Notamacropus eugenii: one gene and its partner. The protein of the gene in region 2 purifies or fractionates together with the protein of the main gene of each other region. This does not show direct contact. Links are inferred from orthologs where the notes say so. Each region holds a gene or a part of one and is shown on either strand. Other genes may lie near its edges.

The links.
Region 1: the proteins of CDK5RAP2 (region 2) and PCNT purify together in Homo sapiens (co-immunoprecipitation; 4 studies listed by BioGRID and IntAct, with this or other methods). This does not show direct contact. The link is inferred for Notamacropus eugenii from reciprocal best matches to the Homo sapiens genes CDK5RAP2 and PCNT.

The regions. Positions count from the first base shown.
Region 1 is NC_092873.1:68,465,899-68,474,318, forward strand, and holds the start of PCNT (pericentrin), read right to left. Parts: upstream 3,329-8,420; 5' UTR 3,107-3,328; coding exon 3,050-3,106; intron 1,414-3,049; coding exon 1,207-1,413; intron 1-1,206. UniProt on the Homo sapiens protein: Integral component of the filamentous matrix of the centrosome involved in the initial establishment of organized microtubule arrays in both mitosis and meiosis. Plays a role, together with DISC1, in the microtubule network formation.
Region 2 is NC_092872.1:441,127,492-441,135,315, forward strand, and holds the start of CDK5RAP2 (CDK5 regulatory subunit-associated protein 2), read right to left. Parts: upstream 3,522-7,824; 5' UTR 3,347-3,521; coding exon 3,291-3,346; intron 1-3,290. UniProt on the Homo sapiens protein: Potential regulator of CDK5 activity via its interaction with CDK5R1. Negative regulator of centriole disengagement (licensing) which maintains centriole engagement and cohesion. Involved in regulation of mitotic spindle orientation.

The DNA.
Region 1 (8,420 bases), on a different chromosome or scaffold from region 2:
TGACCCATACCACCCAGCGGAGGGCCAGGGCACATTCTCCTTGCCAATTGGGATGTGATGGTAGTTAGTGCCATTCACAGACCCATGCTTTCCCACTGCCTACGCAAATCTGATACCCAAATTTCCTGAAGAAGGAGAATAATGGGAAATTTTCATATATCAGAGACAGGTGGTCAAGGATGCTGGCTCCAAAGGACCTCTCCAGAGATAAAATTATTCTACAAATACTTATCAAACATCTGCACTACAAGTAAGAGGAAAGAAAGGAGAGTTAGAAATAGGGGAAATTCTGGAAACTAGATGCTCTCAATATACTGGATGACAAGAGAGCAGTGACAAGCAGCCATTTTCATTTCAGAATGCCGACATCAACAGTTCTGCACATAAATGTTCTCTTGGTTCTCTTTGGCATCTTCAACATTCACAGTTCCATGTACCACCCCTACTGTTTTTAAACAGCCAAATTCTTCAGACTTCTCTTTATGGGTTTTGAGAGGACCTCCCACCTCCCACATGCTGCCCACTCAGACTCCATGCCATACAGAGATACCACCACACAAAGTGTGTCCTTGCTGACCTCAAACCCAGGGCAATTAGGAATCCACAAACTGAGGCTAAGCCCTTAACCCAGGAATTCCTCACAGCAATTACCCCACCACGTCCCACACAACTGGTTGATGCTCATTCCCTTTTCTCTCTTCTGCTTAACACCTTGGACGAATTTCCTCCTCCTCCTGCAGAGCCTGCGCTGGGATGCCCTAGGAAGATGTCGGGCCACTGAAGTTAGATCTACATCTGTAACTCCATGCGATGCCTTGGATTCCCACTCACTTCAAGGGCAGTAAGATGGGAGGGAAATGGAAGAGGGGAGGCATTTGGGGGACATGGAAAGTTTCAAGAGAGTTCTCAATTTGAATTAAGCAGAAACTCTACCATAACTGGCATAGTTAATTCTCTCAATATTTATTAAAACAATTGAGGATGAGGCCTACGAGAGTTTCTCAAAATGACCATGGCACCAAGGTATGAAACATCAGGGCAAAGAACACCGCTCACTCACCTTGTGGAAACAAGAAACCCATCCTCCCACTTATGGCAGCCAAAAACAGACCAGACACGGAGGTTAGTGCGTTAAAAGGAGAGGAACCATCACAACAACATAACGCAAACCAAGAGCCCCAGCCCACCCTCCTCCAGCCACTTCACCTTGGCCTCCAGGGCGCTGGCTCTCCCCTCAGCACAGTCACCGTCCCCCCTGCTGTCCACACTCTGCTCCAGGTCTGGGGGTGTTACCGTGCACTCCTCCTCCTTCTCCGTGACAGCCGCATGGACAGCCGTGCTCTTCCTCTTCGACGCCTTTTTCTTCGAACTCGAACTGTCGCCTTTTGTTTTTCTTTGTCGGAACTGAGCAAGCTACACAAGAAGGTTAAGAAATAGTAGAGACAGAGATAAGTGAGAAAACCGTAACAGGACCACAAAGTGAACACCCCTGTGGAAGAGAACATGGAATGGCTTAATGGGACTGTGCATAAAAATCCACGGGGACTCCCTAGCTATCAAGGATCCAGGTGGCCAACTTAGGCCTCAGCCCTGACCAAAGGCATCCCCAGCCAAAACAGCAGGGTGCCGTCTGCAGGGTTCTAATGGAAATGAAAATGACATCCAAGTCCCCAAGTTATTGGGGCCCTACAAACAGGTCAGGGGAATTAAGTAACAGCTGACAAGCAGCCTGCTAGCTATGGTCACTGGCAGGAAGTTATCAAGTGGTCATCAACTTCGCCAAGGCATGGAAATGAACTGAGAGGCGAGTCGGGCCCTTTCATTCGCCTGCTCCCCCTGCCCCCAAAGCAGAAAACCAGGAGTCAAACTTGGAGCCACTGATTCTGAGCCACATCTACAGAAATAGCAAAAAATTCATTAAGCTGGGTCAATTGCCTCTCCTCCTTGAAAGAATCAGATGCTCTACTTTTCTGAAGTATCCCGGTGCACAAAGCACCAGGGACCTCCAAACCATGTCACCCATCAGAACCCTCTCTCCTTAGCTCCCTGAGCTGAGATCAGCCTTTTCCACTAGCCTGCTTGTGGCGAGCCAGAATCTGCACCAATATTTCAACTGTGCAAGACCCGCCATCATCAGCCCCAAGCTGGGCTCGGAGGCCGCACTGGTCACCCACCCTGGGCCATGACCTCCCTCCTACAGCCAGGGAAGCCGGCCCTGCTCGGGCACTGAGCACAGGCCTGGAGGGAGGCCCTGCTCTCTTGGGGGCCTGGGCCTTGGTAGTACTGAGGTCCCAGGGGCCTCTGGGGGGAAGGGGGCTCGCTCCTTCGCACTGACCCCTCGCGGGCCGCCTCCAAATTGGGCCACTGTTTCGGGGTGACCGCGGCGCTCAGGCCCGGCTTTGGGGAAACCAGGCTCCGCAGGTGGGCCTCCCCTGGGGCAGCCTCAGTTTCTCCATCTGTACATCGAGGGAGGTCGCCCCAAGCTGTCCAGGTGGGCGGGCCTCAGTTTCCCCATCTGTGCACAGAGAAGCCAGCACACTAAACCCCTAGCGTCACTCCGAGGTGGAGGCACACGCCCCCTCCTCAACTCCGCCCCAAGCCACGCCCGGAGCCCAGAGGGTGGGCCCCCAGAGAGGCCGGAAATGCGTGAGCCCGCTTCCGGCCAGTATCCTACACTTCCGGGACCTTCTAGCAGGCGGAGGACCGGGAGACTCGGTGGTCAGGCTCCACCCCACCCCCCCGGCCTCCAGGGCCTGGCCCCGCCTCCACCCCGCGATGACTGGCCAGGAGGCAGGGGGCGGGGCCGAGGAAAGAGCGGTGGATTCAAGATGGCGGCGGCCAGGAGGCGGAAGATTTCGGGCGAGCCCGCGAGAGAGGCGCGGCCCCGGCGGGGATGGGGGATCGGGGACCGCCAAGCTAGCGGGCTCGGTGCTAGGCGGCCCCTTCCCACTCCCCCAGGACCGCAGGTTTCCCGCCCCTCCCCAGGCTCCCGAGCTTCGCGCTCTGTGGGGAGGGGAAGATCCCACGCGGCGGCCAGGGTCGGCCTTACCTTAGCCCGGCCGGCCTCCACCTTGCGCCGCCGCTCCTCTTGCTCGTCGTACTCCATGGCCCGGCGAGGATACGCGCGTGGCCCAGGGGCGGACGCGACCCTCCGCCGCCGCCGCCTCTGCAGCCGCTGTATTGACACGGCCGCCCCGCCCCCTAACTGACCGGGAGCGAGGGGGCGGGTCCGGGCACCCTCCGAGCGCTCTCCAACCCGCCCACGCCCATCGGCGTCCTCCCACAGATGGACGCCTGCACTGGCCAACAAGCGAACGGCGTCCCGCGTCTGCCCTGCCAATCATGGGCTCGGGGCGGGGCGCTCTTCTGGAAACCCGACCCCTCCCAGCCAACCGCCCTGGTACAGCTCTGAGTGACAGGCCGCTAGCCTCTGTATCCTCCCTTTTTCCGCTCAGCCCAGGCTCCGCCTACCTTACGAAAGAATTGGTTACTGCGCTATGACGTCAACCGAGCTGAGCCCTCTGTTTGGTCAATTTCAAAGGGCCCGCCTAGCGCCTCTGGAACGCGTTGTCCAATCAGAGGCGCGGGCGGGAAAAAGACTGAGGCGGCGGGCTGACCTCGGGGCTCTGCTGGGATCTGTGCCAGGGCCCGAAGCCCGGGAACTCCGGGACTGGGCGGAGTGAGACGGCTTGGGGGCGGGGCCAAGGTACCAATCCACCCCGCCCCTTTCCCCTCGGCCCCGGGGGGCCAAGCTGAGGCCAGGTCAGCCAGGAGGGGCCGCAGGTGTGGAATGTCCACACGTGCCCTGGAGGGGGCGTGCTTCCCCCCTCCCACGACCACTTCTGGGGCAGCCCCTTCTCAGATCTCTCATTAACCGGGGATACTGTCCAAACTCCCCAGGACACTGTCCATCCCCCTCCAGGACACCATCCTCCTCCTCTCAGGCCCCTTGTCTGGATCTTCAACCACTGACAAGGCTGTGGGTGAGGTCCGCAGTCCAATGAAGCCAATGGACCCTTTCTCAGAATAATGTTTTTAAATAACTGAAGGTTGTTTTTTTCCACTGTAAGTTCATGCCTCCCCGTGCCCTCCATGCATGCACCTGATAGAGGGCACTTCCTGCTCTGCTCTCTCCCCTCCTGTGGGGTCGGTTCTCTTCTCCATGCCAGTGATCCCCAGGTCTGTGTGTCCAGCCCCACTCTCTTTCCTGCCACCTGGGGCCGCATCCCTGGACATCCTGTAGGCTTTCAAAGGGATCTCCCCTCTGCCCTGGGTTCTCCAGGGCAGGACCCTCCAGCCCCTCAGTCCCCGTACACTCCACTGGTAGCCAACATGTCCTATGTGTCTTCCTCCCTTCCCAGGCTAAGTCTGCTTGTCCCCACTGCCTAACCCTGGTGACTGCCTGGCCCTGCCTCACCACCTTCTTACCCGCCTCCCTGACTCAGTGCATCCCCACCTGCTGCCACTGGTCAGGATACCTCCGTGGTTCACTCCTGAAGCCAATGCAAAACATCGTGTGGGCTTTGAAAGCCCTGCCAAGGTGTTAGACCCCACACCCCCACCATCACCTTTTCAGTCTCCTTATACCTTAGTGCTTTCCATCCTCCACGATCCATTGACTCTGTTTCTCTCTATCTCTCACCTCCATATCTTGACATTGGCTCTTTTATACCTATAATACTTGACCTTACTTGCCTGGCTTCCCTGCCCCTCACCTTCCTTAAATCTCAGCTAAAAACCCACCTTCTGAGCTCCTAAAGGTCAGGGGCTGCGTTTCCGCTTTCAGAATTTGGCACAATACCTAACATGCAGAAAATGCTAATTAACTTGCAAACCTGTGTGATCACAGGAAAGTCACTCTCCCTCTCTGAGCCTGGTTTCCCCCTTGGTAAAATGAAGATAGCAGTAATCAACAAACCATAGGCATCACAGGCTTCTGAGGAAAAAATGCTTTTTATGTGCCAGGCACTGGGGATACAAAGAAGGCAGAAGAAAGTCCCTGCTCTTAAGTAGCTTATAAGCTAATGTTAGAAACATTTGTGACACTAAAAAGGTATCAAGGAAATATTACAGCAGAGTTCAGAGGAATTGAACACTTTGGCCAAAGCGGGCCCCCACCCTCTTTTCAAGAGGAGGGAGCACTGAATACAGAAGGGAGATGAGCTATATACTGTTACTCCAAGACAGATCCTTCCACCAGAAGATGGATTGGTCCATTCTCCATTAGGTCACCATCTTCTCTACATGCCCAATACATAACCTTCCTTAGTGTGATTCCCCCTCCCAAACATGCTTTATCATAGGACCCATGATCAGAAAATGGAGGTATAATTTTATTTGGGGTGTGTCTGCTTATATGCATGAGGCCTCCAGGTAACTGTAGGTCATTTTTCTTGGCTAGTTCCAGCTAGCTGTAGATTTGGTGCCTTTATCAAAAACTTTGTAATTTTCTGAAGGCCACCGTCTGTCTTTTGGTTGATTGAGTTTACCTGCAGTCTGCTGGCCTTCTTATCTAACTTATTCTCAATGACTTCATCAATTAACAATAACTTACTGTGGAAACTTAACTCAATGTCTTTCACGCTAAGGAACTCTCTATAAGCTGCATCAGGGATTAATTATCCTGAGGAGATGCCATATGGAAAAGTATTGGGGCTGTCTTATGAGAAAGTCACAGGGGCCTTAAGTTTCCTCATCTGTAAAAGGAGGAGCTTGGTCCATATGGTCTCTGGTGCCCATAGGGTTCTAGACTCCGCCTGGAAGGCCCTAACTTGTGCTCTCCAGTGGCCATCGTTTGGGTTGACAAAGTTGAACTCACTCATTCCGCAGAGAACCCTACAGAGTAAATGTCAGAGTAGGAGCTGTTTTCATTTGCATTGATCTAATTATTAGTCATTTCAAGGACTTTTCATGTTGCTATTGATAGTTTCAATTTCTTCCTCTGAAAACTGTCTTTGCTTTGACTATGTACTGGGGAAATGAGTCTTATTAGAAATTTGAAACAGTTCACTGTATATCTTAGAAATGAGACCTTTATCAGAGGAACTTGCTGCAAACCTGGTTCAGAAGATCTCTTTCCCACTTACCTGCTTCTCTTCTCACTTTAGCTGAATTGGTTTTGTTTCTGCAAAAGCTTTTTCTTCTTATGTAATCAAAATTGTCCATTTTCTCTTCTGTGATCCTCTGGAGAGGATTCGGTCCTGAACTCTTCCCCTATCAATCGATCTAGCAGGTAAGTGCTTCCTTGCTTCTTTAATTTGTTCATGGTGCCTCTTCTATAGCTGTCACTCACCTGTTTGGAACTTGTCATGGGGTATAGTGGGAGGTGTTGGTCTAGACCAGGGCTGGCAAACTCAGATAGAAGTGGGGGCCATTAATCTGAATAGAAGAATCCCTGCAGCGTGCATATTGGCAGTTTTCAAATGTAATGGTGTGTTCAGGGAAGACTAGGACCTCTGGTGTGAGGGCTTCTTCCACCTTCAGTGTCTACGTGATCCATCTAACTCTCACCTGTGGCTCCAAGAAACTGTAGCATGCACAGCATCCACACCCCAGTAAATCATTTTGGCATATGGGCCAAACCAGGCTGAGGTTAACCAACCAGCCTCAAACCCATCGGTGAGCTTGGGGGGCTCTGCCCCAAGCATGTGAAGACTTCCCCTGATGGGATGGGCGAATGAGAACAATTTCTTCCAATGGCTTGGTTGGAAGGTTGGGAGGCTGGTCAGAAAACAAAGACACTAAAGTCATCCACTGCATCCAGAGCCATCACCAGTCATCCTGCCAATGGACTGTGTTGACTGGAGGACAGAGTAAGGCCTATGACTTTGTGCAGCTCTACCTCACTTAAATCCAATTTATACATGAATCAAAAGACATCACCCATGCCAGGTATCTTTATTTATTTTGTTAAGTATTTCCCAGTTAAATTTTCATCTGGTCTGGGACCACCTCTGATCTAGACCTCGTTTCTACCAGGCTTCTTTCCAGTTTTCCTAATAGTTTTTTATTGAATCGTGAGTTGCTAGCCAAGTAGCCAGGATCTTTGGGTTTCTCAGATACTAGGCAGCTGCCTCATTTGCTTCAGCATATTGTACATTTATGCTGTTCTACTGATCAAACTCTCTGTTTCTTGTTGTCCAGTTGTTTTGGTCCATGAACGGCTCTCTGTGATCCCATTTGGGGTTTTCTTAGCAGAGACACCGTAGTGTTTGCCATTTTCTTCCCTAGCTCATCATACAGATGAGGAAAATGAGGGAAACAGAGTTAGGTGACTTTCCCAGGGTCACCCAGCTAGTACATCAGAGACTGGATTTGAACTGGGATCTTCCTGTCTCCAGGTCAGGCTCTGTACACACTGGACCACCCTGCTGCCTATATGAATATTATAAATTATGAAAAGTGAATCCATGCTATATAGGTAATGACTAGTAAGCATAATCAGCCTTTACACTTATTCAGCATTTTCCATGATCTCATTTGTTAAGTATCTTCTGTGTGTGTGTCAGGCAAAGCACTGGAGATACAGGAGAGAAACAAAGGCTCCCAAGCTCACCCCTCTCCAGGCAGTGCCCTCAGTCATGGGCCTGGGCCTCCCCCGAGTTCTTTTTTTGTTCAGGATTCCAAGAGTCCTGCCTTCCTGGAGGAGCTGTGCCTGGGTGGGGTTGGAATGCCTTCCAGGTTAACACTATCCTCTGGGTATGGCTCCTCACCTGAAGCCGGGCAGAGCAGCAGAGGCCAGCTTCAGAAGGCAGGAAAGCATGTCAGTATAGAAAAGCACATTTCCATATGAGCGTGTGAAGTTTCGGGGTCATCTCCAGTTATCCTGATGAATATCAGGCCACTGGACCCCAATGGCTCAGGAGAAGAAAGTAAGGCTGGTGATCCTGCACAGCCCTCTCACTCAAAACAAGGTCAACTGCAAGTGATGCCATCATCTTGATGTCATGGTCTGCTTCAACAAGGAAGGACAAACAGCACAGCAAAGTGACATTTCTCTTACTCCTGACCTGTGAAGGACATGCCCCAGGAAACGTGCCGTTGGAATCACTGCTGGCTCAGTCAGGAATCTGTACACCCAGGGTGGGGTTTATCCCCCATGGTCCTGATGTGATCAGTAAGATCATCTGTGAAATTGGGCCACACCCAAAAGCAACCTGGATGAAACTTGTGGCTATGGATAAGGGGGTTCAGGGAATTTCCCCCAGACCTATAGAAGCAGCCTTGCTGTTTTCTCCCAAGCCTGTTTCTGGGACAATACTAGAGGGGCTTAGTACTGCCTTGGGTGTCAGGTCCTGGAGCAAGGGGTCTTCATCTGGGGACTTTGAGCTTGTTTTTAAAAATTTGCAGATCACTGAATTTCAATATAATTGGTTTCTTTTGAGATCCAGTGTGTTTTATGTATTTAAAAACACGATTTT
Region 2 (7,824 bases):
TTTACAGCAGCTCTTTTTGTGGTGGCAAAGAATTAGAAATAGAGGGGATGCTCATCAATTGAGGAATAGATGAACAAGTTGTGGTTTATGATTGTGATGGCATACTATAAGAAATGGGGGGGGGGGGTTTCAGAAAAACATGGCAAGACCTAGATGAACTGAAGCAAAATGAAGAGAGAAGAACTGGGAGATCCTGTATATAGTAACTGCAGTGTTATAATGATGATATAACACTGTGAAAGACACTGTGATCCAAGATAATTTCAAAGCACTCAAGTTGAAAAAATGCTAGCCACCTCCAGAGAGAGAAGTGATGAATTCTGAGTGCAAACTGGAATAAAATTTTCTTGTTTTAATTTTTTTGGCATTTTTTTATGATATGGCTAATAGGGAAATATGTTTTGTATAATTTCACATATATAATTGATATCATATTGTTTGCCTTCATAGTGTGTGGGGGAGGGATGAGAGGGAGAGAGAAAATCTGAAACTAAAAATTTAAAAAGAAAATAAACTAATTAAATAATACATTTTTTCAAATTTCTGGAAAAAATTAGTGAAGGCCCTAAAGCACAGATAATGAAACATACCTGCTTCAGTATGGCAGGAGTTGGCAGTCACTAAGACAGAATATTGGATATATATACATATTCAAACTCAGTCACTGTTATCAGATTTTTCTGCTTGATTTTTTTTTTTGTCACAGCCAACCTCACTTTCCCCTCCCCACATATAGGTGGCCTCACTCTTTGTCAAGAGCAGCCCCCTACGTGCTTCCTAGATCTCATCCCATCTTTGTCTCCTCCAGCTCAGTGAACCTTTAGTCAATTCCCTTCTTAGCCTTTCTCTATTAGTTTCTTCTCTACTGCCTACAAACATGTCCAATTCTCCCCTATACTTAAAAAAAACCTTTTATTAGATCCTACCAATCTCCCCTCAAGCTACTGTCCTTTTTCTCCTCCACTTCTCAGCCAAATTCTTCTCCTCTTACACTTCAGCCTTTGTATTCTGGCTTCTAACCTCATCACTCAACTGAAACTGTCCCCTCCAAAGTTTGTGGTCATTTTTCATTCAAGTCTAACTTCTCCAAACCCTATTTTGGTTTTCTTGGCAAAGATACAAGAGTGGTTTGCCAATCCCTTCTCCAGCTCATTTTACAGATGAGTAAACTGAGGTAAACAGGGTTAAGTGACTTGGCCAGGGTCACACAGTTAGTGTGTCTTGAGCTCAAGAAGATGACTCTTCCTAATTTCAGGCAGAACACTCTATCCAGTGCACCACCAAGCTGCCCTAAATTACCAATGATCTTTCAACTGCCAAATCTGATGGTCTTTTCAGTCTTTCTATGTCTTTCTCCTGGTTCTTCTATTTGTCTGACCACTCCTCAGTCTCCTTTAGTGAATTATCATCTATCTTAGGCTTCCCCCCAATTGTAGGTATTCCCTAAGGCAGAATCACTTTTCTCCCTTTACAATTTATCTCCCACAATTTAACTATCATCCCTCTCTAAATTACTCCCAGATCTATATAACAAGCCCCAGTCTCCCTGGCATCAGTCCCACATCAGCTATTAGATACCTCAAACAACATGTCCAAAACGGAATGCATCATCTTTCCTCCCCAATCCCCTCTTTTTCCAAATTTCCCTATTTCAGTCAGACACTATCATCCTTCTAATCTCCCAGATTTGTAACCCCTGTGTTATCCTCACTCAACCCCTCATTCCCCCTCACCTGACATCCATTCAGTTGCCAAATTATGGCATTCTACAATCACAAACAACTCTCACATTCTCAGACCCCTATCTCCACTCACTATCACTTCAGTTCTGGTACTCACCACCTCTCACCTTGATTATCAATAACAATGAACCCAAAACTATTTCCTGCAACCTAAATCACATCAACTCCTATATCTTGCCTTCCAGTGTACCTTAAACTACTTCCAGTACCCCTATCTACATCCCACTATTACACCTATCTGAATCTCTCAACATACCTTCACATAAACTACTCTCCATTCAAATCATCCCTACACATGAAGTGACTTCACCAAAGTATACTGCATACACAAACTATTCTATAATTCCAAGTCACTTTGTCCCACTGCACCCCCACATACTAAAATGATTCTTCCATACCCTCAAATTCCCTCCACCCTAAACTCTAACCCTGCAACCCCCAATCACTCAAGTCTTTGACCTCAACTCCCCATATCCCCAAACTACATCCCTACCACCTCATGCCTGGGCTATTGCAATAGCCTGCCCTTGGTCTCCATGCCTCAAGTCTCTCCCCCACACAAATACACCACTCATCTGTCCAAGTGACTTTCCTAAATTGCCTATTGTCCCCTCCCCAATAATCTCCAGTCTTCCTATTGCCTCCAGAATCAAATATAAAATCCTGTTTGGCTCTTCAAAGGCCCCCATAACCTGGCCTCTTCCGAGCTGTCCAGTCTTCTTACATCTTACACCCACCACTTGCAAGCCAGAGACCCTGGCCTCCTTGTGTCTTTTCTCAGATGACTCCGAGAATCTTCAAGGAACTCTTTAACTCTTTGTCTCCAAACCCCTAACTAGCCCTCCCTATGAAGCACACTGCCCCTCAAAATCATCCCCTCACCCCAGAATTACACGCACAAATCATTTCTTGTCTTGAAGTACCCCCATACTCAAATCACTCCCACCTGAAAGTCACACACACACACACACACACACACACCCCTAAACTACCCGAAACCTGATTCATCACTCCACCATAAATTCCCCTAATTAGCTCCTCACCCCAAACTACCTCTATGTCCCCCTGAACTGTTTACACCCCTAAATCATCTTTTTCGCCCTACACTACTGCTACACCCCAAGCACCCCTTCGCTCTATATCACCCCTACACTTCCACTTCATTCCTTTACCCTAAACTACCCCATCCCCAAATCACCCCTTCACCCAAAGCTACCTCTACACCCCCAAATTATCCCTCTCCTTAAACTACACCTACACACGCAAACATCCCCTTCTCTGAAGTATCTCAGCCCCTCCCAACCTCACCTGGCCCTAAAGCACCCCACAAATTACCCTCACACTGACCTCCATCCCTTTTCATCACCCCCAATTCAAACTATTCAGCACCCCGAATCCTATCTACCATCCCCAGGGACCCCCCAAAAAGCTGGTCCCAAACTACTTCTCACGAACTAAGCCCCACCCCCCTTGGCGCGGACCCCGCGGGGCCGCCGAGCCTGCGCCCCCCGTGCGGCGGCCGCCCTCTACCCGCCCGCCGAGGCCCACCTGCTGCCGTTGAGCCCCACTGGCAGGGTGGCGTCCTCCCCCGGCACCGAGTCCATGGCGACGGCAGCGGCTGGCTGCGGCTCCCCGGGCCAGGCGGGGCCTTCCCCCGCTCCACCCGCGGAGCCGATCGTCCAGACTCCTCTGGCGCCGCTAGAATTCAAACCCCAAGCCACCGCCCCCGCCCCGCCAGCACCGCCATCTTCCTGGGCCTTTTTTCAGTCTTTTTTTTCTTTTGACGGCTTTCTCCGGAAATGAGGCGGGGCTTCCGCGCTTCCCCTGAAGCCAAAGAGGCGGGGCCAGGATGAGGGCTGTCCCGAGGAAATCCCAGAGGGCGCCATATTAACTGAGGGCAAAGGGCCGCGGTCCAGGCAAGGGTAGGGCAGCCGCCATCATAGCTGAGGGCACATTCCGCCGCGGACACTGTGGGGCTGCCATGTCACTTAAGGGCAGTCGGGCTTCTGCGTCGAGCTCGTTTCAAAAGAACTAAAGGAGCCCGCGCTCTGACCAACTTAGATTTCTGGGCGCAAAATTTGTCCTGAGCTACACTAGGTTGAAAAGTCTTAGCTTCTGGAAATGAGTGTAACTTATTCCAAATGACCTCATATGCAAAAAATCTGGCACTGACCTTAAGTTAGATCGGGGGACAGCCTCGCTTTAAGAAAACTTGATGTACGGAATCCAGACAATAAAACAAATGAAGGTGGACAAGGAGCCAAGACTACTTATTTTACAAAAAAAAATCATTTCCTTGAAATACTCAAACTTGCTTAGATAATGAGTAAATATGATAATCATTGATTGTATGGGAGTAGTTTTTATTATTTAGACTGGAGAAGAAAAAACTTAGAAATGGTCTGGTCTAAAATTTTCCTTTTTTACATACAAGGGTGCCTAGGCTCCCCTGAAGGGAAGTCATGCATTTAATAAATAACAAAACCTGAACTTGAACACAAGTTCTCCTGACTCCAAATTCTATCTTCTTTCCATTGCTGCACAATCTTTCCTTTCCATGGTCAGGAAAATAACTGACTAGAGATTAGGAACGCAGAAGGTAAAGGAAAAAGGGGAATGTATGCCCAGCTGAAGACAGAATTCCAGAGAATAGTAAGGAGAGATAAGATTTTCTTAAATGAGAATGTGAAGAAATCAACAGAATGAGAAAAACAAATGATCTCCAAGAAAATTAGAGCTTTTGAGGGAACGTGCCGTGCAAAAACGGGCATGGTAAAAGATAAAAACGATAAGGATTTAACAGAAACAGAAAAGATGAAGAAAAGGTGACAAGAATACATAAAAGAACTATGCAAGAAAGATCTTACCATCACCAATAGCCACAGTGGTATGATTACAGATCTAAAGCCAGACATCCTAGAGAATGAAGTCAAGTGGGCCTTAGGAAGTATTTTTAACAATAAGGCCGAGATGATAGAAATCTAGCTAAGCTAGATCAATTTATTTCCCAATCCTAAAGAAGGGCAATGCCAAGGAATTTTCAGATAACCAAACAATTACACTCGTTTCACATACCAGCAAGGTTATGCTTAAGATTCAGCAAGCTAAGCTTCAACAATATGTGAACTGAGAATTACCAGAAGAGCAAACTTGTTTTCAAAGAGACAGAGGAACTAGAAACTAAATTGCCAAAATTGGTTGGATTATGGAGAAAAGCAAGGGAGTTCCAGAAAAACATCTCCTTCTGCTTCATTGACTATATCAAAAACCTTGACTGAGTAGATCACAACACAAGTTGAGGCAAGACCTCAAAGAGATTACCAGATCATCTGTTTTGTCTCTTGAGGAACCTCTAAGGGAGCTAAGAAGCAACAGTTAGAATTAAACATGGAACAACTGCTTGGTTTAAGACAGGGAGTCAGATAAATCAGAAACTGGAATTAAAGATACTGGAAGAAATATCAACAATCTCAGATATGCAGATGCAACCACTCTGATGGCAAAAAGTGAAGAGGAATTAAGATGCCTCTTGATGAAGGTGAAAGAGGAGAGTAGAAAAGCTGGCTTGAAACTCAATATTAAAAAAAAATTAAGATCTTGGCAATTGGTCTCATCAGTTCCTGGCAAATATAGAGGGAGAAGAAATGGAAGTGGTGTCACATTTCACATATTCTTAAGCTCAACGATCTCTGCAGACAGAAACTGCATCTATGAAATTAAAAGACACTTGCTCTTTGGAAGCAAAGCTATGGCGAATCTGGACAGCATACTAAAAAGCAGAGATATTACATTACCAACAAAGGTCTGTATAGTCAAAGCTCTAGTTTTTCCAATAGCAATGTGTGGCTATGAAGTGAACTATATGTAAGGAAAGCTGAGTGCTGCAGATAGATGCTTTCCACTTGTGGTACTGGAGAACACTTTTGAGAGTCACTTGGATAGCAAGGAGGTCAAATCAGTTAATAGTCAAAGAAATTAATTCAGGCTGTTCACTCGAAGGTCAAATACTGAAGCTGAAACTTAATTACTTTGGCCATACAATGAGAAGATGGGAGTCACTGGAAAAGACCCTGATGTTGGGAAAGATTGAAGGCAAAAGGAAAAGGAAACAGCAAAGGATGTAATGGATAGATGGTATCTTGGAAACAATGAATTAACGTGGACAGACTTCAAGAGAAAGTGAAGGATATGGTGCATGAGATCTCAAAGAGTCAAATGCACCTGAACAAGAGAGATTTGAAGCCAGGCGTCACCTGTTTCTAGATTCATTGCTGTGTTCACTACTTCATGCTACCGCTCAGTATATAGTTCTATCCTTACTGCATTTGAAATGGGATATTCTACTTACAGAAATTCAACTTACACAACTTTTTAGGAAGACAGATGTTGTATAATACAAGGTCCACTCCTACAATACTCCAGTAGAATATGCCTTTCAGCACACTAAGTAAAAATAGCTTGTCTACATATAGTTTTCCAAAACATTTTCTGACAACAGACTCATCAGGTAAGTAATTGTTATCCTGGTTTTAGAGTTGAAGAGATTGAGATACAGAGAGGAGAAGTGTCTTGCCTAAAGTCATTCTTCATTAATTTGATTAACACATTTTTTCTTTGTGAATGGTGAAAAGGTAATATCTGGGGTCATATAATATGAATGAATGGAATCCAAAATTAATGAACTTTATATAACATTATTATTTTCTCTTCAATAAATAAACATTTCATTGAATGGCTATGTGCTTGAGAATATCACAGAAATAACCAGGTTGTAATTTAAGACTTATCTACCTCAACAAAAGATGAGATGCCTACTTCCCAGGTATGCTGTAAAAAACAATAAAAAAAAAAAAAACATCAAACCTATGGTATTTGTTGAGGGCCTCTGGTGATACAGAGGATCATTAGATCATAGGTGTAGGGCTGGAAGGGACCTTAGAGGTCATTGAATTCAACCGTCTCATTTTCAGATGAGGAAACTGAGTCCCAGGAAAGCTAAGTGACTTGCCCTGGGTTACACAGCTAGTATATTTCTGAGCAGAATTTGAACCCAGGCCTTCCTGACTCCGAGTCTAGTACTCTATGAATTGTATCTTGCAGATTGTTGTAAGGATCAGATAAAGTATTAAAGGTTGAAAATCTTAAAAGACCATATCTATATCTATATAGATGTATATGTTAGCTATTATGCTATATAATTGGTAGCTATTAAATAAATACTACACTGCTGCAAAAAGTTATGTAGTAGTAAGACTTCTACTAGAAACCCTACTAACCCCAAGTTCTTTAGAGAAAGCCTGGTATAGATGACCCTCTAATGCTTGGGTTAGATTTTTTTGGTTGGTGTTTCAAGATGGATGTGGTGGTTAAATGCTATCACTATAACTACTTCCTCTTCATTCCCCCACTGAAAATCTGAGATGGTTCTGTAAGGCTGATGATGGGATGCCTTAATCCTGATAAGTTAAATTCATTTGTGTGAGGGAAAGTTAAAGAGTCTGACCTATTCCTCCAAGGCTGATCTGATGAAACCCAATACCTTCCCTCCAAAGAGAGAAAAGGATGAGACAACAGGTGAAGGAAGATGGATGGGAGAAGCTAGCCCTAGGAGAGCATATTGTTCATTGATCGTCAAGGGGGTTGATCTAGGGCCTCATTGAGAGGCTGAGGAGAGAAGAATTATAGCTCTGCTTGGTGTTTTTTTTCTAAAATGGATAATACTCCATGTAAAATATTCCACAGAAATCACAGAATTCCTGAGTTCAAAGGATTTTCAAAGGTTATCTAGCCAAACCCTTAACTGAACAGAAAGCTAGTCTTTCCACAGTATAGATTAAGACTTAGAAAGAAATGTTAGTCACAAAAGAATAAACAGCTGGCACTTTAAGTTCTGCTTAAGCAAAGCCGTACATCCTAATTCATCCTTATTCAATTATGTGAAACTTTAATAGTTCAGAACACAATTAGAGCTAAAATTTATAAATATGAATACTGAAAATACAATTACTTCTGTATATTACTCAGTAGTCACGTTGACTAAAACCCACACATGCTTAAGCACAGAACTTTCTTAGACTTACAT